Linked DNA regions of Sus scrofa. The protein of the gene in region 6 purifies or fractionates together with the protein of the main gene of each other region. This does not show direct contact. Links are inferred from orthologs where the notes say so. Each region holds a gene or a part of one and is shown on either strand. Other genes may lie near its edges. The genes, in order: PPARG, BAG2, HSPBP1, PRMT5, NADSYN1, STUB1 and PSMA3.

Evidence for each region.
Region 1: the proteins of STUB1 (region 6) and PPARG purify together in Homo sapiens (affinity purification with western blotting; 3 studies listed by BioGRID). This does not show direct contact. The link is inferred for Sus scrofa from reciprocal best matches to the Homo sapiens genes STUB1 and PPARG.
Region 2: the proteins of STUB1 (region 6) and BAG2 purify together in Homo sapiens (affinity purification with mass spectrometry; 7 studies listed by BioGRID and IntAct, with this or other methods). This does not show direct contact. The link is inferred for Sus scrofa from reciprocal best matches to the Homo sapiens genes STUB1 and BAG2.
Region 3: the proteins of STUB1 (region 6) and HSPBP1 purify together in Homo sapiens (affinity purification with western blotting; 4 studies listed by BioGRID and IntAct, with this or other methods). This does not show direct contact. The link is inferred for Sus scrofa from reciprocal best matches to the Homo sapiens genes STUB1 and HSPBP1.
Region 4: the proteins of STUB1 (region 6) and PRMT5 purify together in Homo sapiens (affinity purification with western blotting; 3 studies listed by BioGRID and IntAct, with this or other methods). This does not show direct contact. The link is inferred for Sus scrofa from reciprocal best matches to the Homo sapiens genes STUB1 and PRMT5.
Region 5: the proteins of STUB1 (region 6) and NADSYN1 purify together in Homo sapiens (co-immunoprecipitation; 3 studies listed by BioGRID and IntAct, with this or other methods). This does not show direct contact. The link is inferred for Sus scrofa from reciprocal best matches to the Homo sapiens genes STUB1 and NADSYN1.
Region 7: the proteins of STUB1 (region 6) and PSMA3 purify together in Homo sapiens (affinity purification with western blotting; 3 studies listed by BioGRID, with this or other methods). This does not show direct contact. The link is inferred for Sus scrofa from reciprocal best matches to the Homo sapiens genes STUB1 and PSMA3.

What each region holds. Positions count from the first base shown.
Region 1 is NC_010455.5:68,362,645-68,366,800, reverse strand, and holds the start of PPARG (peroxisome proliferator-activated receptor gamma), read right to left. Parts: upstream 2,801-4,156; 5' UTR 2,785-2,800; coding exon 2,706-2,784; intron 59-2,705; exon of another isoform or gene 1-58. UniProt on the Homo sapiens protein: Nuclear receptor that binds peroxisome proliferators such as hypolipidemic drugs and fatty acids.
Region 2 is NC_010449.5:28,677,698-28,681,945, reverse strand, and holds the start of BAG2 (BAG family molecular chaperone regulator 2), read left to right. Parts: upstream 1-1,448; 5' UTR 1,449-1,764; coding exon 1,765-1,877; intron 1,878-2,014; exon of another isoform or gene 2,015-2,152; coding exon of another isoform or gene 2,153-2,163; intron 2,164-4,248. UniProt on the Homo sapiens protein: Co-chaperone for HSP70 and HSC70 chaperone proteins. Acts as a nucleotide-exchange factor (NEF) promoting the release of ADP from the HSP70 and HSC70 proteins thereby triggering client/substrate protein release.
Region 3 is NC_010448.4:59,458,034-59,461,533, forward strand, and holds part of HSPBP1 (hsp70-binding protein 1), read right to left. Parts: intron 3,215-3,500; coding exon 3,010-3,214; intron 1,431-3,009; coding exon 1,206-1,430; intron 1-1,205. UniProt on the Homo sapiens protein: Inhibits HSPA1A chaperone activity by changing the conformation of the ATP-binding domain of HSPA1A and interfering with ATP binding. Interferes with ubiquitination mediated by STUB1 and inhibits chaperone-assisted degradation of immature CFTR.
Region 4 is NC_010449.5:76,109,571-76,113,804, reverse strand, and holds the start of PRMT5 (protein arginine N-methyltransferase 5), read right to left. Parts: upstream 2,801-4,234; 5' UTR 2,796-2,800; coding exon 2,686-2,795; exon of another isoform or gene 2,450-2,685; intron 2,006-2,449; coding exon 1,887-2,005; intron 1,578-1,886; coding exon 1,492-1,577; intron 944-1,491; coding exon 809-943; intron 1-808. UniProt on the Homo sapiens protein: Arginine methyltransferase that can both catalyze the formation of omega-N monomethylarginine (MMA) and symmetrical dimethylarginine (sDMA), with a preference for the formation of MMA.
Region 5 is NC_010444.4:2,362,357-2,365,856, forward strand, and holds part of NADSYN1 (glutamine-dependent NAD(+) synthetase), read right to left. Parts: intron 3,234-3,500; coding exon 3,180-3,233; intron 2,765-3,179; coding exon 2,675-2,764; intron 1-2,674. UniProt on the Homo sapiens protein: Catalyzes the final step of the nicotinamide adenine dinucleotide (NAD) de novo synthesis pathway, the ATP-dependent amidation of deamido-NAD using L-glutamine as a nitrogen source.
Region 6 is NC_010445.4:41,092,382-41,096,522, forward strand, and holds STUB1 (E3 ubiquitin-protein ligase CHIP), read right to left. Parts: upstream 2,801-4,141; 5' UTR 2,681-2,800; coding exon 2,522-2,680; intron 2,030-2,521; coding exon 1,831-2,029; intron 1,743-1,830; coding exon 1,577-1,742; intron 1,240-1,576; exon of another isoform or gene 1,098-1,239; coding exon 1,010-1,097; intron 858-1,009; coding exon 801-857; intron 714-800; coding exon 597-713; intron 520-596; coding exon 394-519; 3' UTR 133-393; downstream 1-132. Other genes in the region: JMJD8 (jmjC domain-containing protein 8), read left to right, coding at 6-86; uncharacterized protein LOC100524737, read left to right, coding at 2,989-3,116, 3,189-3,282, 3,439-3,598, 3,778-3,930, 4,050-4,141. UniProt on the Homo sapiens protein: E3 ubiquitin-protein ligase which targets misfolded chaperone substrates towards proteasomal degradation.
Region 7 is NC_010443.5:187,355,731-187,359,230, reverse strand, and holds part of PSMA3 (proteasome subunit alpha type-3), read right to left. Parts: intron 1,418-3,500; coding exon 1,316-1,417; intron 1,236-1,315; coding exon 1,162-1,235; intron 1-1,161. UniProt on the Homo sapiens protein: Component of the 20S core proteasome complex involved in the proteolytic degradation of most intracellular proteins. This complex plays numerous essential roles within the cell by associating with different regulatory particles.

The DNA.
Region 1 (4,156 bases), on a different chromosome or scaffold from region 6:
GAATCATCTCTTGCAGCACTTATCACGTCTCTAAGGCATACTTCCATTGCTCAATCCGCTGCAAAGGACAAGTGTGTCATCATCTTTCAATGCTCTGGTGCAACAACTTAAAATTAGAGAATTCACGCAGGATTAATTCTGGCACGAAAAGCAAGAGGCGTATTCAGCTTGAGTTTATGGAAGCTTCCCTTCAATTGTGCCAATTTTTACTAGTGGAAATGGTTTCAGAGCCAGCTTTGGGGTTACTTGGGGTTCCCTGAAAAGCTCATGATGAAACCAGAAAGGAAGGTAAGAAAAAGGGAGTCACTGTGATAATGGAGACCAGGAAAATGTGGGCATAGTGCCCACAGAGAGTAGAGTTTTTATGTTTATGAATAGGACCAATGTAGCTGGACATCTGGATTTTTCACACTCAGCAAGTCCCTCTGTCTTCAGCAGTAGCACCCTGACCCTTGTTATACCCTGATTCCCCTTCACCTGTGATAAGGAAGAGGACCAAATGCATTCCTGGATCTACCCAAGTACCTAATCTCTACAGTGCAGCATCTCTGCTGGCCTCAATTAGCTAATGCTGGATATATTCCCAATTTATTTTCAAGTTTGTCTGTTTCGGCAAGTGTGGAATAAGTAGTTTGTGGTCGCCTACAAAATACCATGAGAGTTATTAGCTATCACAGGTCTTTAGCCTTTAGAAACTCATATTTTTAACAGAAAAACATTTATGAATAAGGAAAAATCAGAGACCATATAACGTAAGAGTTAAATGGTACAATATATAATTTCTTTCTTTTTTATTTTTAGGGTCACACCTGCAGCATATGCAATTAATTTTAATGCTTAAGCACTGATCCCAGGCTAGGGGTCAAATCAGAACTGCCAGCCTACGCCATAGCCACAGCAACTTGGGATCCAAACCACATAAGCTACTTATGTCACAGGCACAGTAACACCATACCCAAGCCACATCTGCGACCTACACCACAGCTCATGGCAACACTGGATCCCTGATCTGTAACCCACTGAGTGAAGTCAGGAGTCAAACCCCTCATCCTCATGGATACTAGTCAGGTTCGTTTCCACAACACCGAATCCTTAACTAGTTGGATTCGTTTCCGCTGCACCACGATGGGAACTCCCCAACAAATAACTTCTTGATTGCTAATGATTTTATTCTATACCAGGTTAATTAAAAAGAAAAGTACTGGGTTATTCTTTTGAAGCGGATTTGACACTCAAAAAATTAAACCCAGGGCAAAATCAAGGCATAAAAATAAAGAGACTAGTACAGAATGAAAACTAACTTAAAACACATAACTATTGCTTACCATAACCAGTTCTTGCCCCCCGAGTTAATTTAAAATATTGGTTGTACTGCATTCTGGACATATTCCTTTCAAACAGACAAAACTATTAAATCTTGACTCAATATTCCTTTCAAACAGACAAAACTATTAAATCTTGACTCAAGAATAATTTTACAGTATAGTTAGGACATTCTGCCCTGATGCAGCCTAAATTAATAACTAGAGAAAGCAGACTTGTAGAAAAACAGAATAATAGACTTTTATATAATACAATGAAACAAAACTCCCATACAAATATGCATTGAGTCTAGTCATCATAATAAAATGAAATGCTATTTCAGGAAATATTTTTTCATAATTTTCAAATCTTGATATTTAAAAAATCTGTGATTAATATGTTCAAACTTTAGGCTTCCAGAAAAATTAAAACATTAAAATGTAAAGCCATCCATTTCAATAATTAAGGAACTTAATTTTAACGCTTAAGCACTTAAAGTATAAAATAGGAATCAGACTAGTTAACACAATCTATTTTTATGTGGCATCTTTGAGAAGAGAAAAAAAATGGAAATACAGAAACAAATGCGAAACAGTATAAAGCAGAAGCAGCTGTGCTAAGACACTCCAGTAGAAGGAGCTGTAGAAATAAAGAATATAATTTTGCAATGGCCGAGAAAGATATGCTGAAAATGAGGTTATCTGTTTGAATCTTTTATATCTGAGTAAAAGGAATAATCATTTATTTAGCCTGCCACAGGCATTTTGGGGCCTCATTTTCTCCATCTGTAAAATGAGATGCTTAGAAGAGGCCTTCGCCAAGGTCCGTGCACTCTGTTCTACAAAGCCTAAGGTGCTATGCTCTGTAATCCTAACAAATACAAGGAAAATACAATGTGGTCTTCCACTCTGGAAGTTATGATTCTTTGGGAGAGATACAAGGCATACGCAATTATCTAGATTTCAAAGTAGAACAAAAACGTGCTAAGACACTTTAAGAGGAATAAATCCCAGGAGAGAGAGAAAAACTGTGCTGAGAGACACGTGACATGTAAAGCTAAAAGGAAAAAAGTGACCCCCCAGGTATTCTAAAAAAAAGACCTTAGGTGTTTTGGGGAAAATGCAAACTCAGAAAATAAAAATGAATAAAAATTTTAAAATATATACTTTGGTTGCTTAAAATTCAGGACACAGGAGTCATGTGCCCAGATAAAATAGGGATTAGATTAGGTTTCTTTTTTTAAAGATCTGAATATACGCATAAGTGAACACAGAGCAGCAAGAGACTGAAACATACACATCATAGAATCAGAACAAATAAAACTTGGAAAACAAGCTACAAGAACAACTGTACCCTTCCAAAACACCCGAAGTGCCCAGTAGCCGTATCTGGACCGACTTTACCTTGTGAAATGTTTGCAGACAGCGTGTCGAAGGCATCGCTTTCTGGGTCAATAAGAGAATCTCCCAGAGTTTCACCCATGACAGCATGGAATAGGGGTTTGCTGTCATTCACACTGATATTTTGTCTATTTCTTGCAAAAGGCCAATCCATTAAAGGGAAAAGATTCCTGGTTGTAGAACTGGTGAAGGCACCAATGAGTCAGGACATCAGTTTCCAAATACTGGAGAGGTGGGAATCAACTCCCACAGGACCAGGGCTGAACTGGCTGGCACACTCCTGTTAGGGGCCAGCTGTGACAAAACGTTGTGTCATAATATTGTTCACTGCTTTGGCAAGACTTGGTACATTACAAGGAATACATTGCCACACTGTCTCGCCAGTGACCCACATGTTCAGTGTCTTGTGAGGGGCACAAGCAGTGCAGTGTTCAGAACTCTCAAAGAGACTGCTCAACATCCACTTGCTTCTTTTTTGTGTCTTTTCAGGGCTGTACCTGCAGCATATGGAAGTTCTAAGGATAGGGGTCGAATCAGAGCTACAGCTGCCAGCCTACACCACAGCCACAGCAATGCTGGATCCTTAACCTACTAAGTGAGACCAAGGATTGAACCCGGATCCTCATGGATACTAGTTGGGTTCTTAACCCACCGAGCCACAGCAGGAACTCACAATTGCTTCTTAATTGAAAAGTTTACATCCCTGAGTTATGAAATAGACAAAGGGAGTGGGATGGACTGAGAGTTTGGGGTTAAGATGCAAACTATTACATTTAAATGGATAAGCAATGAGGTCCTGTTGTACAGCAACTATATCCAATTTCTTAGGATAGAACATGATGGAAGATAATATAAGAATGTATATAGGTGTATGACTGGGTCACTTTGCTGTACAGCAGAAACTGGAACAACATTGTAAATCAACTATAATTTAAAAATTTCTTTAAAAAGAAATACCGGATAAACCAACTTGCACACAGTTTTTTTTTTTTTCTGTCTGCCCATTATCTGATATCTGAAGAAGACTTCTGAATTCAAGCATGTGTTCATAGTTTAAAATTTGCTATCAGCTACTGAAATATTCTGTTCTAAGGTATTTATTCTACTACTTTGTAAAGTATGTAAAAAATGATACTGACAGCTATCTAAATGCCATACAATTAAAGAGTTGAGAGACTGGACATAGAGAGGGCTTGATACAGTTTAGATTTTACATATCAGAGTCTGCTTTCAAAAATTTAATTATGAAGTTTATCCAATTATAGCATATGCAGCAATACTGCATCAGCTGATGCCTGAACATTGGTTAATGTTTAAGCATAAATTCCAGATCATAATGAAAAATGTGGAGTTCTCCCTGACAGGAATAATGCATTACCAGAAAAAAAAAAAAAGGATTTATACTGATAGGTTGGCGAGGAATTGTGGTCAGTTTTGTAATTAGGAAAATGCTG
Region 2 (4,248 bases), on a different chromosome or scaffold from region 6:
TTTTTTTTGGATCCTTGGTGTCCTACCAGCCCAGCCCTTTGTCCTATTTCTTACCCGCCTGCTGGCCTGGCTCTCCTCTCTGACATCGCTGGGGAACAAGACACGGGTTTGTTCTGGGCTCCCTTGGCAAGTGCAGCTCTGATACTCAGCAGGCTGGGGCTCAATTTAAAGAGCATCATTTTTTTCTTTTCAATTTCTTTCAAATCATTTATTTGTTCACCCACTCACAAAGTATTCTTGGCTACTTACCATGTGTTCGCCACTGTTCTCGGCACTTGAGATCCCCCCCCAACACACACACACACAAAGCCCCCACTCTGGAGCACTCGGGGAGGGGGTTGGATAGAACCTCGAATGATAAGATAGTGAAACAGGGAAGGGGGGAGAGCATGGGGCTGGGCAGGGGGAGGCAGTTATTTCCAACAGGGTGGTCGGGAAGGACCCTGACCAGGTGAAGCTCAGGAGACCTGAAGGTGGGCGAGCTCTAGGAAGAGGGTGAAAAGGTCTAGAAGAGCAGGATGAGCTCAGAGGGCAATGCAAGGTGGCATCCTTAGAGACCTTTTCTGAAGACCCTGGAAAGGAGGAGCCCTGAAGGTTTCTGAGAGTAAGTGGTGTGACCTGCTGTACTTGGACTGCTGTGGGGCTGTGTTGAGTGCAAACAGCTGAGAGCAGAAGCAGGGGTGCAAGTGGGAGGGCAGGCCACTGGTCCAGGAGGGAAGGCAGGCTGGGTGCACCCTGAAGGGGAGGGGACTGGGTCTCTGGCATGAGAGTCCAGGGTGATGCTGAAGTCACCTGATAGACTTCCATTCTCCAAAAGTGGAAGGATTCTTTGTTCGTGTCATGATATGAGAGAATATACTTAATGATGTCAAATATTCCCCTCCAGCAACAATTCATCGACATGGAGTCTAAGTTCAGAAAAATTGCCATCCAGCCTTAAGGGCTTCATCTCTGTTCACTTATTTACATGGCTTTGATCTCAGATTAAAGGTTGTGATCCAGCTTTAAAGTGTTATTATCTCCACTTGAAGTGCCCTGTACCTTCTCATTCTTGCAGCGTGAAGCAGCGAGCTCCCCACAACATTCACTCCACTTGTACTGACCTTCATGGTGTCTGACCTCGTGGCCTACGGCATCTTTTCCTAACAGGAGATTTAAATAAGTTGGGTGTGAAAGGGTCTTAACCATTTCACTTAAATTCCAGCAAATAACTTTTGAACAGAAGAAAGTCATTGAAAATAAAGGAAGTTCACCTTCCTACGTCCCGCTGGGTGGTAAGAGGGGCGCCTTTTCTCGCGCGCTCTATTAGCCTCGTTCTCATCTCCGGAGAGGGCCTGGTGGCCAGGCAGGTCGGGCGACACGGCCCCGGCGGCCCGGCTCTGCGCGCGGGAGGCGGGAGGGCGGGCTGGGCTGGGCCGGGCCGGGCCGGGGGCGCGGGCTCCGCCCTGGGGGCGGTGTTCCAGGCGAAGAGCGGGCCCGACGCCACGTGAGCCGCCCCGCAGGCCGCCCGGCTTCCTCCTACCGCCCGCGCGCGGTCAGCCAGCGCCCCGCGCCCCTGGGTTCCCCTGGCGTCTGGAGCCCCGGTTCCCTGGCCCCCAGTCGTCCGGACCCCAGTCCTTGCTCGACCACCCGCGCCCCCCGACCCCCAGTCCCCTGGCCCCCAGTCCCCACCCAGACCGCGGATCCCCAGCCCGGGCGCGGGCGGCGCGTCAGAGAGAGGCGTGCGGCGCGGTGACGGCGGTGACCTCGGGCCTCCGGGCGCAGATGGCTCAGGCGAGGATCAGCGCCAAGGCCAACGAGGGCCGCTTCTGCCGCTCCTCGTCCATGGCCGACCGCTCCAGCCGCCTGCTGGAGAGCCTGGACCAGCTGGAGCTCAGGTGTGCGGGGCGGCGGGCGGATCCGGGCGCGGTCGGACCCCGGCCCTGGGGCACTCGCTAGCCTGTCCGTCCGGCGGTCCCTTGGCCCCGCGTCCCGGCGGCCGCGCTCTTGCCTGCGCGGGAGCGGGGGAAGCCGAGGAGGTGAAGGGTAGGGACGCCGCTGGCGGTTGGGGCTGGGCTGACACCGCGGGTCCGCGGAGCTTCCAGAACCTTCTGCACGCCAGGGGTTCGGTCGGGTCTCCCTGAGATGCTCTTTCTGAACGGGTGGCGGTCTAATGGTCCCAAGGTCAGTGATCCATTCTTTTGCTTCCAACACTTAAGAGCAATATCTCAGAATAAAGCTTCGGGGCCCCATCGGATCCCAAGGCGGGGCGGGGCGAGGGCACTTGTGGGGCGCCCGCCCGGTCCCCTCTGCGTTTTTCCCGGCGCCGGGCTCCCCCCACCAAGAGCCGCTCCCACCTTCCAAGTGCAGTTTGCTGGCCCGAAACCACAGGGGTCACCTGTTTCCACTCTTAGCTGATTCAGGTTTTAATAAGGAATCAACGTGTGGCTTGAAATAAAGCCGCGTGAGGGGGCCCGAGCTGCGCTGTTGGGGGGCGTGCTGAGCACCTGGGGGTGTGGGGGGGCCTCTAGCGCCGCCCCGGCCCCACGGAGGGGACTTGAGGGCGGGGTAGATGGGCGAGCGCACGTTTTGATAGAAGGTCGCTGCTGGTCGGGAGAGCAGATGTGTCCTCAATGGTTTTAGTGCTTTTCTGCGTGTGGGAAGATGCAAGAATCTGGGTTCATTAAATTTTCCTGAAAATCTCTCTCTGTGGGCCTGTTCCGCCAGTTTTCCCAGAGCGCAGAGCCTCCTCATTCCTGCTCGTCTGAATTCTTTCCAGGCTGTGCTGTCAGTTCCTGTAGAACCGGGTGGCCAGGGACTCTCCTAGCGGCAGATGGGGTGGTAGGCTCCTTGGGATGCCTAAAGCCTATGCAAGAAGTTTTGGACCTACTTTTCTCTTTCCACAATGTATGAAAACGTTGATGTACTTCTCGTAAAGGTTCAGGTCACAAAAGCTACTGTATAAATTGTGTGCAAGTGTAGTTTTATGAAAATCTTAACTGGGGCACCCACAACTCCCTTAAACCTCCGCATTTTTTTCCATAGTTTGCACCAGGTTCTGGATGAGCAAAGGAGTAGGTAAGGTAGACATTTCAAGAATTGCCTTTACCTCCCTTGATTAATACACCAAAACGGGAGGGGTCTTATGACTCATAAAGTACACTAATAACCAAATGAGGCATTTCTTCATTATTTATCATGATTAACTGAATGAGGCATTTATTATTTATCAATTAGCATTAAGCAAGTGAGGCCTATATTAATCATTTTAAAATTTAGTATTTATCATTTGAAATTTGTTATTGATGATGATGGCAAGAAACAATGTCTTCTCGGAAAATAAATTCAGAATGTATACCTGTATGTGTGATTGGGTCATCTTGCTGTACAGTAGAAAATTGACGGAACACTGTAAACCAGCTATAATGGAAGAAATATCATTATAAATGAAAAAAAAAAAAAGAAAATAAATTCTCCACCATCATGATTTTGTGGGTAGTAATGGAAACCAGAACCCAGACTGGTTCTGGGGTCCTGCTGGGAATGACACAGATGGAATAAGGGGAGAGCAGTGCTTCCCGTGGCTGGACCTGCTGAAGCCAGTGCTCCTGAATGTCGTGTGTTGTCCCCTTTCCAACCCCCGCCCCGGCAGACTGCCTTTTCTTTTTTCATCGCATCGCAAAGGGGTCTTGTCATCTTCCCGGGCTTTAGAACTTGGAGGGGCATGTTCTCAACCATTTCTGGGGTCTCCCCACCCCCACACCCCATCAGAAAGGAAGGGTTTCTTCTTCAGGGACCGTGGGGGATGTTGCCCCCGCCTCCTTCTTCAAGCTTGAGTGGTGGTCCTCAGACTTGAACTAGTGCCTCACGTACGAAAGCAGCCAAGTGCTCGTCTTTACCAGGAAGGCTTTGGTTTTGAATATTGTGTTCCAGCGATTGATGTGAAGCGAATTCTGATTACTGAGTACAAGCAATTAAATTGTATTTTGCCGAATTAACTCTTGAACTGAGGAGGAAAGGCTGATTAATGTGTGTCTAGTTGTTCATTTTAAGGACCTTCCCAGTAATTGTAGACTTTTGCGAGCTTTATTTCTTGCTTTTAGAAAAAGTAACGCTGAGTGAAAACTTAGGAAGCATTTGGGAAGGTGGGTAAAAACAGGAGTTTTTGAAACCATGTGAGCCATGGAGAGTGGAGTGCACTCTCAGAACCTAGAATCCTACCTAGAAGATCAAGTGGAAGAAGAATGCATGATTTTCCCAGGTCATTTT
Region 3 (3,500 bases), on a different chromosome or scaffold from region 6:
GCTCCAATTTGACCCCTACCCTGGGCACCTCCATATGCTGCAGGTGTGGCCCTCAAAAAAAAAAAGGACAAAGCGTGGGGAAAAAGAAATGCAAGGTATCTCGTTAGCACTCCACATAATGAGGGGCTGAAATGACAATAATTTAAATATAAGGGGTTAAATAAAATGTCATCCAATTAACAAAAAAAAAAAAGAAAAAAAAAGTACCAGCCTATGAGGAGGGGTAGACATGACTAAGCCTCTCCATCGCTGGCTCCGCCGTCATGATGTGTCCAGGAGCAACCCTTCCCTTCACACAGGGCCTCGCCACCTGGCAAAGCTGACAGGTGGCGCCACATCATTCTGTGTCACAGGGGCCGCCCTGGGCACCAGAGGCTGCCACAGCCATCACCACGCCAGATCCCTAACCCACTGAGCGAGGCCAGGGATCAAACCCACATCCTCACGGACACCATGTCAGGTTCTTAGCCCCCTGAGCCCCAAGGGGAACTCCAACATCAACTTTCAAAAAGATAAAAGGCCTCAGCCACAAGGAAGAAAAAATGAAATTGTGTCATTTGCAACAACATGGATGGACCTGGGAGTTGTTACACTAAATGAAATAAATCAGACAGAAAAAGACAGATACTGAGGTTAATGACTTAGCTCTGAAATCTAAAAAAATAAGACAAACTACTGAATACAACAAAAATGAAATAGACTCACAGACGCAGAGAACAAACTAGAGGTTACCAGCAAGGAGAGGGGAGAGGAAGGGGCAAGAGAGGGGTTGGTACCAAAAAAAAAAAAAAGATAAAAGGCACTGTAGTTCTCGGAGCTCCTGCCTGGCACCCTGGCTGGCACGCTCTGGGAGAAGCCCGCTAACACGTTGTGAGGACACTCAAGCAGCCCCCTGGAGAGCCCCCTCCACAATGACGGGGGTGATCAGGTCCCAGATGGCAACAGGACTTTGGCTGAGAGCCCTGAGGGGGCCCAAAAGCACTCGAGCGGGCCCTTGTCCTGTGTCGCCAGGATCTGGCTCTCTGACCAGTGCAGCGGGTGGCAAGTGCACAGCTCTGTTCCCAGCACCAAGCAGAGACCCGACAGGTGCTGGGAATAAACAACAAATGAGGCCCCCCTCCCTCTGCCCTGAAGCAGATCGGAGGGCTGGCGCCTGCCCTGTGGACCCAGGCCCCACCCTGCCAGCCCGGCCCCAGGACACTCACAGGAGATGGCGAAGAGGGCCTTGACGCGCACCGAGTCGCAGGGGTCCCGATCCAGCAGGCGCAGCAGCTTGCGCAGGGCACCGAGGCCCAGCACCTGCTCCTGGATGGCCGCCACGTTCTGGCTGCATGTGCCGATGAGTTGTGCCGCCCGCCACCGCAGCCCCGCGGGGCCCGCCTCCAGGTAGCGGCCTACCAGCAGGTGCATGCCAGATAGCTGGCAGAAGTCTGTGTGGGAGAGAGGGGAGCAGACAGGTGTGACGGGCTGAGCTGTGCCCACCCCCAACTTTCCACTGAAGTCCTAACCCCCAGGGTCCTAGGAAGTACTGTATTTGGGGACAGGCCATTAAGGAGGCGATTAAGGCGAAATGATGTCACAGGATGGGGCGCCGGTCCAATATGACTGGTGTCCTCATAAGAAGAGATCAGGACACAGACACCCACGGAGGAGGAACCACAAGAGGATACAGTGAGAAGAGCGCCGTCTACGAGCCCGGAAGGGCCTCAGAAGACACCAATGCTCAGGCTTCCAGCCTCGGAACTATGAGAAAGTAGACTTCTGCTGTTTCAGCCCCAATCCGCGGTGCTTTCTTAGGGCAAAGGGGAGCCTGCCTCCGAGGGCTGGCTCTCTCCAAGGACAGTGTGTCTCGACGATGTCAGCATTTGGAGGGTCAGGGCTCCCAGGCTCCGGCCCCCTCAATGCCAGCCCGGACACCCCGTCTCTGTGACCACCAGGACATGCCCTGTGGGAGAAGCACACGCCAAACCAGTGATCTGCAAACTACAGCCCACCGGCTGTTTTCCTATTGGCGAGCTTGGCGCTTCCTCAGAAAGTCATCAGCGAAGACACCTAGTTATCTCCCAAAGCGGTGAAAGCAGGAACTCCACTGGGCACCTGCACGCCAGTGTTCACAGCCGCATCATGTGCAATAACCCAGGGGTAGCTGCCCCAAATACCCATCAGCTGATGAATGGATCCATGACACGCAGCCTTAACCACAGAAAGGAATAAAGTTCTGATACCAGTCACAACGTGGAAGAACCTTGAAAACATCACCCTCAGGGAAGGAAGGCAGCTGCAAAAGGTCATGCCTTCTACGACCCCTCATCCGTCAATGTCCAGGACAGATAAACCCAGATCCTCGACAACCACACCGACGCCCCTCCAAGTGGAAGTGACGACTCGTCCATCAGTCAGCTTCTCGGCACCGAGAGTAAGAGCCACAGCACCACCTTGGCCCATGAGGCCAGGTGTGCCTGGTGTCACTTCCTGGCCTCCACTCTGCTGTGCTGGCCTCACTGCTGTTCCCGAACATGTCGGGTGCGTTCCCACCGCAGGGCCTTGGCACAGGCCGTGCCCTCTTCCTGGAATGCCTTTTCCAGAGCTAATTCCATGACTTGAGCCCTCGCTTTAGGTCTCTAACCAAGTGTCACCCTCGGGGAGGGCCTCTCTGGCTCCCCCATCAAGGAACACTTCCTGTGGCTTACTCTGAAGTGGCCATGGACTCCCAGCAGAGGAGGGCGACGTGGCCAGTTTCAGAGAGCATCGGTGAGGTGGTGGACTGAACCTGCAGCCATCAATGCTCCTGACGGCAAGTGAACCGAGCAGGGAGGGACAGGGAGTCCCACCGGGGGCCTGAATCGGAGCCAGACGGCAAGGGTGAGGCTGGAGGCTGGGAGGCTGGGGAGGAGGCTGAGCCAGAGGTCCCTGAGCCAAAGGACAAGGGCTGGGCTGCAGAGGGAAGCCAGGAGGCAGAAGAGGCAGGACCCTGGCAGCCAGAGGCAGGCCGAGGTGGGCTGGCTGTACCTGCAGCGTTGTCCATGTTCTCACACAGGTCGGCCAGCAGCTCCAGGGCCCCCTCACGCTCCTGCTGGTCAGCAGCCAGTTCAGCTTCACCAGCTGAGGAGGGTGTGGGCTGGGACAGCACCCGGAGGCAGTTCTTCATCTGCTCCACCTCCTCTCGCTGGCCCCGGAAGGCGGCCGACATGGCCTCCTGCAGCCACTGGCGCCTCTGGGGAGTGAGGTGGAAGAAAGAGGCAAACTTTACCAATAATTAATTCATGAATAACAGTCATCACCAACAACAGCCACTGTAAATCAACCATACTGCAATAAAATTTTTTTTTTTTTTTGTCTTTTTGCCATTTCTTGGGCCACTCCCCCAGCATATGGAGGTTCCCAGGCTAGGGGTTGAATCGGAGCTGCAGCTGCCAGCCTACACCAGAGCCACAGCAATGAGACATCCAAGCTGAGATCCAAGCCGAGTCTGCGACCTACGCCACAGCTCACGGCAACGC
Region 4 (4,234 bases), on a different chromosome or scaffold from region 6:
ATTAATTAATTTATTTTTGGCCGTGCCCTTGGCATGTGGAAGTGTCCAGGCTGGGGATCAAACCCCACCACAGCAATAACCCAAGCCGCAACAGCGACAACACCAGATTCTTAACCCACTGCGCCACAAGAAAACACCTCTCTGCCCTATTTAGAACTCTATTTTGAACTCATTGGGTCCAGAAGCTTCTTTCAATTAAAAAGATCTTGATCCAGGAGTTCCTGTCATGGCACAGGGGAAACGAATCCGACTAAGAACCACTAAGAGCTAAGATTGTGGGTTTGATCCCTGGCCTCCCTCAGTGGGTTAAGGACCTGATGTTGCCATGAGCTGTGGTGTAGGTCGCAGACACGGCTCAGATGTGGCGTTGCTGTGGCTATGGTGTAGGCCGGCAGCTACAGCTCTGATTTGACTCCTAGCCTGGGAACCTCCATGTGCCACAGGTGCAGCCCTGAAAAGACAAAAAAAAAAGCTTAAACATAAATAAATAAAAAGATCTTGATCTAGATTTCAACTTAATCCCCTTACATGCTTTTCCCAATTGTGATTTTATGTATGTGCACACGTATCTCGTGTACATCCTTATGTAAGTATCTGCCCTGTCTTTTACTTTATTATAAGTTTCTGGAGATAATAGAATATGCTATGTATTTTATAAGTCTCTGCTTACCACTTTTAGTTGTGGGTAGGCAGGACTGACATTTAAATTCTGCCTAATGCACCCTTTACTGAATGGCTAGGAAAAGAAGATATTTAGCACAGCCTGACTACCATAATGTGCAGCAGGAAAGGAGGCCCTCAGCCATACCATGGAGGAGTGGTGGCCAGTGTGGATGTGATTAGTCAAAACTCTTGCCAAGTTTGTGTTATCTTCCTGATTTAGGGGCAGCAGGAAAGCTGGAAGACCCAAATAGGCCCCAAAATTCAGCTCCTGTAACATAGCCTAGAATGGAGAACAAGAGGCAAAGTTAAGAGCTAGCAACTCAAACAACCTTTTTTTTTTTTTTTTTTTTGTCTCTTTAGGGCTGCACCCACGGCATATGGAGGTTTCCAGGCTGGGGGTCCAATCAGAGCTGAAGCCGCCGGCCTACGCCACAGCCACAGCAACTCAGGACCTGAGCCATGTCTGCAACCTACACCACAGCTCACGGCAATGCCGGATCCTTAACCCGCTGAGCAAGGCCAGGGACTGAACCCTTGTCCTCATCCTCATGGATGCTAGTTTTTTTTTTTTTTTTTTTTTTTTATTTTCCCACTGTACAGCAAGGGGGTCAGGTCATCCTTAGATGTATACATTGCAGTTACAGTTTTTTCCCCCACTGGATGCTAGTTTGATTCATTAACCACTAAGCCACAAGGGGAACTCCTCAAACAGCTTTAAGTGCATTACATCAGATTTACTAAGTTATGGAGGGGAAAAATCTGTTCTCCCCATCCAGGTTGTTTACAGATCTGATCTTTAGAAAGATTCGGTGAAGATGTCAGTCTTACCGCCTCAGAGTTCCTGCGGATCTTCTCCACTTTTGAGTCTGGACGAATCCATGGGGAAAGCTTGCCCACAATTAGTGTATTCCAGTCTGCACTCCCCAACCCAAGAAAGACAAAGACTGAGTGAGGTTCAGCACTTTATGCATTCAATTTCTATTTCTTAACAGGGAATAGTAGAGATGAGAGACAAAAGGCTTTTTCTATCACAGATACAGGAAAGCCTGATGCAGAATAGGAAACTAAGGCTTTGAGCAGTAAGCAAGGAGAGAACAAGAGTTATCCATATCCCAGGGTTGAACAAATACATCCAGGTCAAGAAAGGAAGAGGAAGAAGGCACTGATAAAACATAAGTTGTTACTGCCTCTAATAATTAAGGGGCATGTGGGATGGTCCCTACCCCTTCCTGACAGCAGTAGGTCTGATCGTGTCTGGGGACCCGGCCGATTCTTAGCAGGTTCCTGAGTGAACTCCCTCTTGAAACGCGGGTGGAAGACAGGCATGCAGAGGAAATCAAACCTACAACCACGACAGACCCAGAATCGTCATGTAAAGAGAGTAGCAGTGCCCAGCGATCCAAGCAATTGGACTAGGCTATCTCCATTCTGCACAACCCTTTCAGCTGCCATTAGTCAGTCACTCGAATGGGCTGCTGAATTCGGCCCATTTTAGGGAATATCACTTCCACTGCGTTGTGCCTCAATTTCTTCCCAGAACAGAGCCATGGAAAAGATGAGAAAAGAGAAAAGATGAAAATCCACGCCACGTGGACTTTCTACTCTGTTGTCACTGATTTTCCAAGACTGTCATATCCAGATCTGCTCCAGTACTACCCAGGCTTCAGCCCTCAAGGTTCATCTCTCCTCTCCCTAGCCCCATAACACTTCCTCCCACTCTGAGACAAGAACCTCGCACCTCGCTCTCCAGGGCCCTTGAGGTCGTACGCCCTCTTTTTGAGTTTACCTGATAACTCTCTCGACTTTGGGGTTCAGGGACCACACGTTCCCAATATGTCTTTCTTTCTCTTTCTCTTACGCTCCAGGGCCGGAGGCTTCTCCCTACATGGACTAGCGGTTTCTCCCACCCTAATCTTATCCACTCCGACCCCCTCACCCCTGCTTCCCAGGGATGACTGGTCTGCCCCTCTCAGTCCCCGAGTTCCGACCCCGCATTCTGTTCGCGGAAGTCCAGGCCCTCACCCCTGCTTGGCCACAGCCCCCAGTGTGTCAGCTATTTCGGGGACGCAATTCAGGTCCCTCCCGCTGGACACGCGGCTTCCACCGGCACCGCCGACCGCCATCGCCGCCATCTTTTCCCTCGCGCAGTCCACGCCGAGATTCCCTGACACTGGCAGCCAATCACAAAGCCGAAAAAAAGCCCCCGGAAGGCGGGACGAGTCTCCCTGACAACCAAAGCGTCTCCCAGGGTCCCGAGCAAGTGGAGGAGGGGTGGGAAGTGGCTCTTCCTGCCAATCCGCAGGCTGCACAGTGACGTAGGGCACGGCTCCGGAAGAGTCACCAATCTCAGGGTCTGGTTCTCGACAAACTTCGATCTCCCATAATGCTTCATGTACTGGTAAAATTCCGGTAAGAGACTACACGTCCCATGAAACCCTGCAGTATAAGCTTGAAGTGTCATCATTGAGAACGAAGAAGTCGTCTCAGGGCCAGTGGCGCAATGGATAACGCGTCTGACTACGGATCAGAAGATTCCAGGTTCGACTCCTGGCTGGCTCGGTGGGGCTAACGCTTTTGGTGCATCCCCTGCAATGCTTTAATGCCCCCTTTTAAAATTTCTTCGCTGTCCTCTCTCGCTCTCATTTTCAGGTCTTAATGTTATTGCATTCTGCAACTATTTCATGCCAGCGTTTAATAATACCTAGTTCAAAGATGGTTCTTGTGTCCCTGCCTTGGTGCATCCAAATGCACCAAGAAAACTGAGTTAATGGCTGGTGCTCTTAAAATGGATTTTGAATGGGCCTTAGTATATTTTTAAACAGATTGTGGCAATTCAGCCACAAATTCCTTGTGATTCGGTATCTCAAATACAAAAAGCAAACACTGAAACACACACACCACTGAAGATAAAGGAATTCATGGTGAGAGATTACAGTGGAGAGAAGTTATGAATTGACTGGCAGAGACAGGAAAGAGTCTCTACATTTTTCTTTTCCATGCTTGCTAGAGGGATGGAAAAGAAGGAAAGGAATGAAGCAAAAAAAGATCTAGGCAGGAGAAATACCTGAAGGCAGGAAGCCCAGAGGTGTTGCGGACTTGGCAGCGGGGAACGGAAAAGAGAATCAATACAAAAGGCCCTAGGCAGGAGGCCTTGACAGAATTTAGAGACCGACTGACAGGGAGTCTGAGAAAGGGAAGTCTGGGGGTGATGCCCAGAGTTCTGGCCTCTTTGAGCGAGACAAATGATAAAAGCTGGTTTAGGGAGAATCGAGGCTGGGGTTTGGAAATGCTGACTTGGACGTCTAGGGGGCGCTGTGTAATAGAGAGTTGTATGAACAGTGATCTGAACCAGACAAGATTTGCAAATCGCCAGAAGAGAGATAGTGACTGAAGCCAGGAGACCGAATGAGATCGCCGCAGTGGACGACAGAGTCCTGAGAAACACGGAATGTGTGTGGATAGGCTAAGCTATAAGGGAATACATTGTAAGCGCCCCAAAAGGATGAAAGTCAGAAAGTCAGAGAACTACGAAAATGCCTATGAAGCCTAAAAGAGTTGGAGGTGCTTGTGT
Region 5 (3,500 bases), on a different chromosome or scaffold from region 6:
CAGGACTCAGCTGCCGTTTCAACCCCTCCAAGAAACGTCAGCTTTGAACAGTCACTGTGACACTCCCTGATGACACTGGGGAGGTGGGGTCAGCGTGATGTAGACGCTACTGTCCTCCCCCCCAAAGAAGAGGGTCGCCTGAACCACCCGTCCCTCCCCTCCTGCCCTTGTTCTTGTCCTGCCCTCCTTCTGCATCCCGTACACCCGTCGGGGTGCCCTTCCCTTTACGGTGGGAGGCTGCCCGGCTCCTGAACCACTGCATAAAGCCAAGGGGGTCTTCCACCTGACCCAGATGGATTTTCATTTTTTAAGAAACCCAGAAAACTGTGAAATGTCCGTCTTAGGAAGAGGAGATGCAGAAAAACTAACAGCGAGCGCTTGAAAGTGCGCCAAACCCTGGCCTCCCAGAGCAGGAAACCAGGAAATGGCAATGTCTGCACATTTAGTTAGAAATACTGAGGCAGAATGCAGAGGTTATGCGGGGAAGGGAGAAAAATGGGAAAGGAGACGGAGACAGCTTCAGGGAGCAGGGCTCGGAGACGGGGGCAGACGAGGAGAGTCTGTTTGTTTTTTGTCATCTGCTCACAGGATTATTTCTGACTTATGAAACCATGTTATTATATAAAAGAGCCGACGGTTTGTACTATATAAAGGAATGAATCATTGCGTGACTCTCAAAAGCATCATGGTGAGCAAAAGAAGTCAGTTATGAGAAAACGTACAGGTGTCACTCCGTTTGCATGACATCTAAGACAGGACAAGACGAGCCTTGGGGCTCAGCTGGCAAGAGCTGTGGCGCCGCGGAAATGGCTTTAGCTTCTATATGGTGTGACTGCTCCAAGGCACACGACTGTCAAAAAGAAAGCACCCAGGAGCTCCCACTGTGGCACGAGGGGTCAGTGGCATCTCTGGGCCTCGGGGATGCAGGTTCAACCCCCGGCCCAGTGCAGTGGGTTAAGGCTCTGGCGTTGCTGCAGCTGTGGTGTGGGTCACAACTGTGGCCTGATCTGATCCCTGGTGCCGGAACTCCAAATGCTGAGGCGTGGCAAAAAAGGAAAAAGAAAGAAAAAAGGAAGGAAGGGAGGAAGAAGGAAAGAAAATGAAAAGAAAAAAACAAAAAGAAAGCACCTAAAATCTGCATATTTCATTGCATGTTATCTACCTCACTTAAAAAACACGATTTGACACAACACTCCTAACAATACAGAGAATTTCAGCCATACGATGACTTGATAATATACCATTCATACATTTAAAGCCATCCGGGCACAGAAAAAAATTTTTTTTTAAAATTTTTAACTAACATAATACTGGCGTCTGAATCTAGAAAAGAGAAAGAAATTCTGAGTAAATACGAACACATGGAATCAAAGCTTAATCCATCACATCCGTTTGGCGTCCATGGAGACATGCAAAGACGTTACGTTCAGCTCAACACAGGCTGAAAAGACGTCTGATCAGTGCAACATCCATTTGCCATTAATTTTAAGGCCCCAAAGCGAAACTAATAAAGGATGGATACGAACGCCAAACCAAAGGCAGAAACAGGCAGAGCTCCCCGAGTCAAGTCGGGGAACAGACAAGACATCTGCTCCAGAAATGAGCTAGGATATTGTTCTAGAGGTGCTGGCCAGCAAGCGCTGCTTTGAAAACGGACTGAGAGATGGAAGTATTGGAAAGAAGCAAAGGTAGTTACATGTTATATAACTTCTACTTGGAGAGAAACAAAGAGAACCCAGGAAATCAGTAGAATAACGACCAGGTTAGACTATAGGAAGGCGGCCAATGGCAAAAGCAACACACACAATCCTAAGCTCTTCCTGCATAAGAATATTAACCACTTAGGAGTTCCCGTCGTGGTTCAGTGGTTAACGAATCCGACTAGGAACCATGAGGTTGCGGGTTCGATCCCTGCCCTTGCTCAGTGGGTTAAGGATCCGGCATTGCCGTGAGCTGTGGTGTAAGTCGCAGACGCGGCTCGGATCCCGAGTTGCTGTGGCTCTGGTGTAGGCCGGTGGCTACAGCTCCGACTGGACCCCTAGCCTGGGAACCTCCATATGCCGCGGGAGCGGCCCAAGAAATAGCAACAACAACAAAAGACAAAAAGACAAAAAAAAAAAAAAAAAAAAAAGAATATTAACCACTTAAAATATCATGTTAAAGGTTCCTTTTGCAACAGCAGCAACCGTGAATAAACAGAAATAACTGTGAGAAGAATATACAGCAACCAGGGACAGCGCTGTCCCCAGGGGACACTTGGCAATGTCTGGTGACATTTTAAATTGTCACCAATGGACACAGGTACCTCGCCGAGGTAGGCCAGGGGAACCGCTGCACACCTCGGTGTGCCGAGGACGCCCCTTCCACCCCGACAAGAAAGATCCGGCCCCCAAGCCACAGGGCTGGAGTCGAGAAACCCTGATACACAGGGTCCGATGCAGGACGACTGATGAGCGCTGATGGGTGACCTTGAGCTGCAGCTGATAAACTGGCTGCGAATTCATCCGCAGCATCAAATCAGCCCCGTCTAAATGACAGTACTCCAGGGCAGGGACTTTGCCCCGAATTCTGGGCTGTGTCCCCCTCGACCTGCACAAGCTAAACACGGAAAGACGCTCCATGCACACCGACGGGGCGGCCACAACCCAGGCCCCCGCGCGTCGGGCAGACTCACCGACTCCTGGACCACGGGGTAAACCAGCGCAGCTCCCGGTAGTTGCCCTCATTGGCCAAGGCCATCTTGGGTCTAATGAGCAGGATCTTCCTACAGCAGGGGGACAAGGTCACTCCTGAGACGAACACGCCCTGTGACAAGGAGCAGCCCCAGGGCCATCCACCCGGACTGTCAACGGGGGGCAGAGCCCCTAAGACCTGGCAGCGGGGCATGTGTGGGCAGCAGATGTTTAGGGACCACGAGGGGACATGAGAAGGCCGCCCTCCCTGGACTGACCTCCCGGTAACAGGGCTGTGGTCCCCAAACCCCACCCTATGGCCTTGAATACCTGCAGGTGTCAGCTGTGGCAGAGACCAGGAGAGGCGGTGCCCCTTGAGTCACCTGCCTGGAACACCAGCCCCGACCAAGGTGTCTCCAGAAGACGCCTCCCAGCCCTCGGGCCCCCGGGGCCGTGCCCTGAGCCTGGGAGGGGCAGGCAGGTCACTCTGCTGCCGGGGTCACCTACCTGTTGAGGAATATCACCCTGCAGTTGTACCGGACATTGCGGTGCATCACGGGCCTGCGGAGAGAGGCGCACACACGCTGGTCTGCAAGTGGAAGCCACACGTCTGGGGTGGGGTTTTTTTTTTTTTGGTCTTTTTGTCTTTTTAGGGCCACAGTGTGGCACATGGAACTTCCCAGGCTAGGGGTCGAATCGGAGCTGCAGCTGCCAGCCCACACCACAGCCACAGCCACGCCAGATCCGAGCCGCATCTGTGACCTACACCATAGCTCATGGCAACACAGGATCCTTAACCCCCTGAGCGAGGCCAGGGATGGAACCCGC
Region 6 (4,141 bases):
ACTAGGTGCTGTATTTCCCTGACCGATGGTGGCACGCCACACTCAACCTTGACATCAGCGTCTTCATCTCTACGTTCCTCAGCTAACCCAGGGGGTGGCTGGTAAGCCGTTGCACACCAGCACACGCCCCCATAGTGCTCACAGATTTTATTACAGGGACAGTGGTGGCAGCAGCAACCTCGGCCTGGCCCACCCTCACCTGCCGCTTCTGGCACAGGAGGATGGGGGAGCCTCATGGCCCAGCAGAACTGGTGGGGCTGGGGCTGGGGATACCAGGGTGGGGATCCAGGGACACGAACTATGTACAGAGGCTAGGGGCTGCTGCCCCAAGGCCCTCCCAAGAAGCCAGGATACTGGGCAGGGTGGGTGAGGGGCCCACCCACTTGCCCTGCCTCAGTAGTCCTCCACCCAGCCATTCTCCGAGATGAACGCATCAATGACCTCCTTCATGGCCAGGTTGGGGATGAGCTGTTCCTGGGTCAGGGGGCTCCGAGTCACAGGGTCAAAGTGGCCCACGCGCTGCAGTGGCAACAGGATCAGAATGAGAAGATGCCCAGTGGGTGTGGGCCCTGCCCCCAGCGGCTACGGACCCTTACCTGCAGGTGCTCCTCAATGTCCTTGCGGTCATAGGTGATGCCACTGGGCGTGATGCACGGCTCCCGCATCAGCTCGAAGCTGATCTTGCCACACAGGTAGTCAGGGATGTCTCGCTTCTGCAGCACCCAAGCTCAGGTCAGGAGCGGGAAGGGGCACTGCCCTGGCTCCTGCTACCCACAGGGCCCAGGGAACAGGCAGCTTACCTTTCTCTTCTCATCCACCTGGGAGAAGAGCTCATCCATGTCTGCCAAGTACTTATCCTACAAAAAACCAGGCAGCTCCAGAGAAGCTTGAGCCCCTGTCGCCTTTCCCCAGGCACCCCGCCCACAAAGACCCAACAGGAGCCAGGGTCACCTCACATCACACACGTGCAAATACACACAGGACCCACACGTGGGCAGGGCACCCTCACATGCTTGGCCTCGATGCAGGCCTGCTGGGCCCGGATGTGGCCGTCATCCTCTTCACCCTCGTGGTTCCGCTGACACTCTTCCAGCTCCCTGGGGTGGACCACACAGCTGATCAGAGATGGGTCTGGCCAGAGGAGATCAGACTCCACCTTGGGCCGATTCAGGCCCTGTTCCCTCATCTCCTGCTTTCCCAGGCTGGTCCTCAATAAACGCTTATGTTCACGACTCAGAATGGTGACTTTTGCGAGTTCCCGTCATGGCTCAGTGGTTAATGAATCCGACTAGGAACCATGAGATTGCAGGTTTGAACCTCGGCCTTGCTCAGTGGGTTAACGATCCGACGTTGTCAAGAACTGGTGTAGGTCGCAGACAACGGCTCGGATCCCGCATTGCTGTGGCTCTGGCGTAGGCCGGCGGCTAGAGCTCCGATTGGACCCCTAGCCTGGGAACCTTCACATGATACAGGAGGGGCCCTAGAAATGGCGAAAAGACACGAAAACAAAAAAACAAGGAAAAAAAGAATGGTGACTTTGGGAGGTGGGGTGGAGCCCATGAACACCACAGCCCACCTCTCACGCTCAGCCACAATGAGTCGAGTGAGGTAAGAGTGCAGCTCGTTCTCCTGGTGGATGCGCCGCTCCTCGATGCTGTTCCAGCGTTTCTTCTTGGCAATGCGCAAAGCACTGGGGATGTCATCCCCAAAATTGAGCCGCTGCTCCTTGGCCAGGTTGTAGGCTGGGGGAACAAAGGATCCGGGTAACCCTCGAGCCAGTCCCCCCGCCTGGTCCCAGGCACCCTGGAACAGGCCAGCCAGCAAGCCCACCTCGCTGCAGGTTGGCAATAGCCTCATCATAGCTCTCCATCTCCAACTGGCACTGCCCCAGGAAGAAGTGTGCTTTCACAGACTGGCTGTCCAGTTCCAGGGCGCGCCGGCAGTCAGCCAGGGCTTGCTCGTGCTGCTGCATCTTCAGGTAGCACAGTGCCCGGTTGGTGTAATACACTGCCACCAAGGGATTCCGGGTCTGGGGACCAAGGCCGGACCAGCCAACATGAGGGAGTGAGTTCAGCCTGCCCTTTCTGTCCTAGCTTGAGACCCACGGCTGGAATCAAGACACTAGAGGTTTCTCAGCACCCAGGTCTCTGGGCGCGGAGGAAGGGTGGAGCCTACCTGAGCCCGCCCCCTCGACTCCAACGAGTCTTGCGAAGACAGGTTTCCCAGACTCCTGAAAATCCCCAGCTTTGGGCTTGGACCCCCAGCCCAGTGGGCTGCAAGCACCCTGAAGCTCCCACCCGCCACAGTTCTCTGACCACCAACCCTGGCTCGGGAGCCGTAGCCTTGGCCTCTCTGAGAGAAGATCACTCAGTCCTCAGAGCCGAAGTGCATCCCCTCCGAAAGTCCGGTAGGGGCGGCCAGACAGGGGCTCCGGGGAGGACGCGGGGCCGAAGCCGCGGCCCGGCCCGGCCCCTCCTCCGGCCCCGACGCCTGCCCCCTCCCGCGGCCCGGGCGCACTCACGATGGCGCGGCCGTAGCAGGCCGCCGCCTCCGGGTACTTGCGGCCCACGAAGAGCCGGTTGCCCTGCTCCTTTAGCTCCTGCGCGCTCGGGCTCTTCTCCGGGCTGCCGCCGCCGGCGCCCAGCCGCGCGCCGCTCTCCTTCTCCTCCTTGCCCTTCATGGCGCCGCGCGGCACGGCCTGGGCTCCGCTCCCAGGCTCCGCGCCCGGCCCGCCCAGCGCCCGCACCCCGAGCCCGCGATCCGCTCGGGCCCAGTCCTGCGCTCTGCCACCGGAACTTCCGGCCGTGCGGTTGGGCGGGGCCTCGCGTGCCCCCAACGCGCCGCGGGGGCGGGGTTGGCAGGGAGCGTGCGCTCGCGGCGACTCGACGCGCGGCGTCGGCAACCTGAGGAGAGCCGAGGTCGTCGGGGCGGAAGCCCACCCCGGCGCCCCGGCGCCCCGCCCCCGAAGCCCTGCCCCGGCGCGTGGACATGGCGGCGGCCCGCGGCCTTTGGGGCTGTGAGGACCCGAGCCTCTGGGCCGCCGTCCTGGGCCGCCACGGGGAAGTGCTCCGAGCGCGCGCGGGCCCCCAGGGGCGGCTGGAAGCCCTGGACCGATGGTAGGGTGATAGGGGCATCGGGTGGGCGGGGGACCCCCGTGGCCCGGAGTCGCCGTCACAGCTCTTCTCCAGGTATCGAGAGGCGTTGCCCGCAGCCATCGAGGGCCGGGAGGAGAAGCACGTGACTCGAGAAGAGCTGGGGCAGCTGCTGGCTTGGAAGCTGGCTGTGAGGAACTTCCCACTTGGGGGGCGGGGCCTCCTTCCGGGGCGGGGCGTAGCGGTGTGGGCGTGGGCGTGGCTCGCCCGGGGGCGGGCCCTCGCGCTGTGGGGCGGGGCCCCTAGCGAGGTCCAGCACCCGTGACCCCCACCCCGACTTGACCAGCGGGGCCGCTTCAGGCCGCGCCTGCATCAGCTCGTCAGCGCCAACGCCCCGGAGTTGGTGGTGCAGCACTCGGCTGCCGCCTTCCCCCTCCTGCCAGACATGCACGCCGCGGTCACGGAATTACGCGCCCTGCGGGGCGTGGGCCCGGCCACGGCCTCGGGTTAGTCGGGAGAGCCTGGCGCCCTGGCAGGGTCGCGGGCGGAACCTGGTCTGTTAGTACATTTGCCTGGGACATCGCCTGATGGCCACGTTCATGACACCAAGAGCTGTTGCGAATGGCAGCCCCGAAGGTGTCTTGAGGCTGGTGGGGCCTGAGTGTTGGCTGTTTGCTGCCCATAGCGGTCTTGGCTGCCGGAGCTCCCGAGGTGGCAGCTTTCATGTCTGAGGAGGCAGTGGCCGCGGTGCCCGGTCTGCCAGCCCTGCAGTACACCCTCAAGCACTACCTGCTGTACCTGAGCCGGGTGCAGGAGCGAGCCACAGCTCTGAGCCATGGTGAGGAGACTGCTGGCAGCGAGGGAGGGCATTCAGGACTCTGGTCAGGGTGGAGGGTGCAGAGCTTCCCAGCAGAGCAGGGTGACCTGGGCCCCAGACTCCCTGTTGCCCCTCCTTAGGCAGTGCCTCAGGGCTGTGGACCCCGCATCGTGTGGAGACAGCCCTGTGGACCTGGGCTATAGGGCAGAAGCTGTGCCCTGACCTGCTGCCC
Region 7 (3,500 bases), on a different chromosome or scaffold from region 6:
ATCATGCTAAGTGAAGTCAGCTGTACAATGAGACACCAACATCAAATGCTTTCACTGACATGTGGAATCTGAAAAAAGGACAGACTGAACTTCTTTGCAGAACAGATGCTGACTCACAGACTTTGAAAAACTTATGGTCTCCAGAGGAGACAGTTTGGGGGGTGGGGGGATGTGGTTGGGTTGTGGGATAGAAATCCTGTGAAACTGGATTGTGATGATCACTGTACAAAAAAACTAAATAAGTAAGTGCAGCTGAAAAAATAAAAAGATAAAAGTATATCAGAGAGATATTAATGAGAAAACTGAAGTGTCACTATAGTTGCCTAGTTAATAATGACCACATGGAATACATTTAAAATCCATTTGCAATTTACTGAAAATTTCTGGGTCTAGTTCCAGAGAATTTTTTCCCTAATTTTACTGAGAAATAATTGACAACAGTCACTTTATAAGTTTAAGGTGAACATCATGATGATTTATACACATTGTGAAATGATTACAACAGGTTTAGTTAACATCCATCATCTCATACAGGTACAATTAAAAAAAAATTCCTCCTTGTGATGAGAACTAAGGACCTACTTTCTTAAAAATTTTCCTTTTTATCATGCAGCAGTGTTAACTGTAGTCTCATGTTGTACATTACATCCCTCATACTTATTTACCTTAAACTTTACAAGTTTATATACCTTTTGACCACCTTCCTCCAAAGAATTTATTATAATCAGATTAAAATATTACTGAGTTAGGTTTTATCCTCAGTTCAAATCTGCATAGCCTTTCATTTTTCAAAGTTTTAATTTTTACATACAACATTTGATTTAATCATTGCCCTAACACTTCTTGATTACAGTTGTTTTGGGGGGATTTTTTTTGTCTTTTTAGGGCCACACCCACAGCATATGGAGGTTCCCAGGCTAGGGGTTGAATCTGAGCTACAGCTGCTGGCCTACACCACAGCCACAGCAATGCAGGATCCTTAACCCACTAAGAAGGTCAGGGATTGAAGGTATCCTCATTTATGCTAGTCGGATTTGTTTCCACTGAGCCACGACGGGAACTCCAACAGTTAATTTTTTAAGGGTAAAAAAGTCTAATAACATGCTGGGAAAACAGATACTACAGTACAGATATGAATGAATATCTCACAAAATTTCATACCTGCAGCCAAAAGGTCTAACAGCACTGTAGAGGGTATAGGCATGTACATACATGGCCACTCTGTCTGCAAGATGCTGTGGGGGAAAAAACAAAAGAACGTATTCATACTCTTTTCTTACTATTCAAAAGGCTCCTCAACATGTTACCAACTTACTTTTAGTGGAATGTTATATCCAAAGTTAGACCTAAAGTTGGAAGCCTCTTCTCTTGCAATGTCTGCTAAAGAACGAGCATCTGCCAACAAACCTGCTACTGCCTGAAAATAAAAAAATAAAAAAAAAAAACAACTATCAATTCAGTAGGTAACATATCTATCACAAATCACGGGAAGTATGTAATTATTACAGGCTTATTTGATTTTTTTTGTTTTTTTAACAAGCACCATTATTGGAATAAATTTTTTTGGCTTTTAAAGGTCTTTACAAGGCATTTGGCATTTTGATGCTTGAGTATGGGATTATAATTTGGGAATTTACTAAATGTGACTTCACTGTTTTGTCCAGTGATCACCTTCAGAAAAAACCTTCATGTCTTCCCATTTACAGCTTTATTATGAAGAGTAAAACAACAGGAGTTCCTATAGTGGCTCAGTGGTTAAAAAACCCGATGAGCATCCATGAGGACACAGGTTCAATCCCTGGCCTTGCTCAGTGGGTTAAGGATCCGGCACTGCTGTAAGCTGTGGTGTAGGTCACAGACACAGCTCAGATCCTGTGTTGCTGTGGCTCTGGTGTAGGCTGGCGGTCAAAGCTCCAAATGGACCCCTAGCCTGGTAACCTCCATATGCCTGAGGTGCAGCTCTAGAAAGATAAAAAAAAAAAAAAAAAAAAAAAAAAAGGATAAAACAACAAAGAGAATAAAACCACTAGTTTTGGTCAGGACTGATCTTTATTTGAAGTATTCTATATTCAAAGTTTATTAAAAGTTTTAATCTAAAAGGCACAATTTTATGTCTCCTTCTTTTTCAGCCAACTGACTACTAAATTGTAATGCCAAACCAAAATATGACAAAGCCCAAATTTTCCAAGAATAGTGGCTTAGAACTGCAATTACCAAACCTTGTGCTGAGATACCCCAGGGCACTATAATGAACTCAGAGTTGTGGACATTTTAAGTTTGAGGGAGACATCTGTTGAAGTAGTTCACAGTTTTAACATTAGAGCATTCTGTACTCCTTTCAAAGCTATGGTATCATTGAGAGAAGTTGGGTTGCTGTGATATAAAATAAGTACTGTGCAATAATCAATGCCGAAGAGGAAATGGAGTGGGGCTGGGGCATAGTATCTAATCCAGTTTCAAAGTTTTAAGTAGTTGTACACTGTACATTAGTAATTGTGATTGTTTAAAAATAAAAATATTTTTCTTTGCTAAATGTGTATGTTTTTTCTTACAGCTACTAAGTTTTTAGGACATAAACACTTAGCTGTTTGGACCTGCATATATAATAAACAGAACCATTGGGTATTTTGTCTAGGGAAGCGATGAAAACAAAACAAAAAAAATTATTGAAATACTTACAGGTATAAAGAACCAAGAAAGTCTGGCAATCAGTTGGCAAAGAAGGTTTGCAGAATTTAAAATAAATGCTGTCAGAATTTTTAATAGTCTTATTTTCTAATATTACCAAGTAATAGTAATAACTATGAAAATCTTTAACACATATTGAACACCCATTACACGCTCAGCATTTTACATAATAATGCACGAGGGGAGGTACTATTACTAACATAGTTTTGGAGGTGAGGAGACTGGTGTTCAGAGTAACTTCCACAAGGTATATTCAGCTAGTTTAAGTTTTACCATTTGAAAAATCTTCCCTTGCTTTAGAGAAAACTTACTGTGAAGTCTAATAATCTATCAAATTCCTTGATGACAATTGTGGAGACAGAACGTTATCCTTCATTTTCTCCAGCCCTCCTCAATGTCTCATGTTTTGCCAATTCCCAGCTATAAGGAATGCCATCAATTTCCTGGCTTTAAATAACAAGTGGGACACATCTGAAAATTCTAGAACAAAAATTTTTTCCATCACTAAAGTGCCTACAAGGCTATATGGTTTTTGTTTTTTGTTTTTCAAAATACACCTACCTAAAGTTTTTACTACATGAAACAATGCAGGATTCACTAGTTTCCTGCCAGCTAGGTTACAATAATAAAATCTGTTCAGGAGAGAAAAGTTTCAGAAAATAAAGCAAAAAAAAATTATTTTTATCTTATCTGTAGCTTTATAGTTTACTGGTTATATTTTTACCAGTCGTTCTTGTGTTTGTATATAACACATCTCATTGAGAAATAACAAAGCTACTAGTATTTCAGCAGAATGAGTAGATCAAATAGGA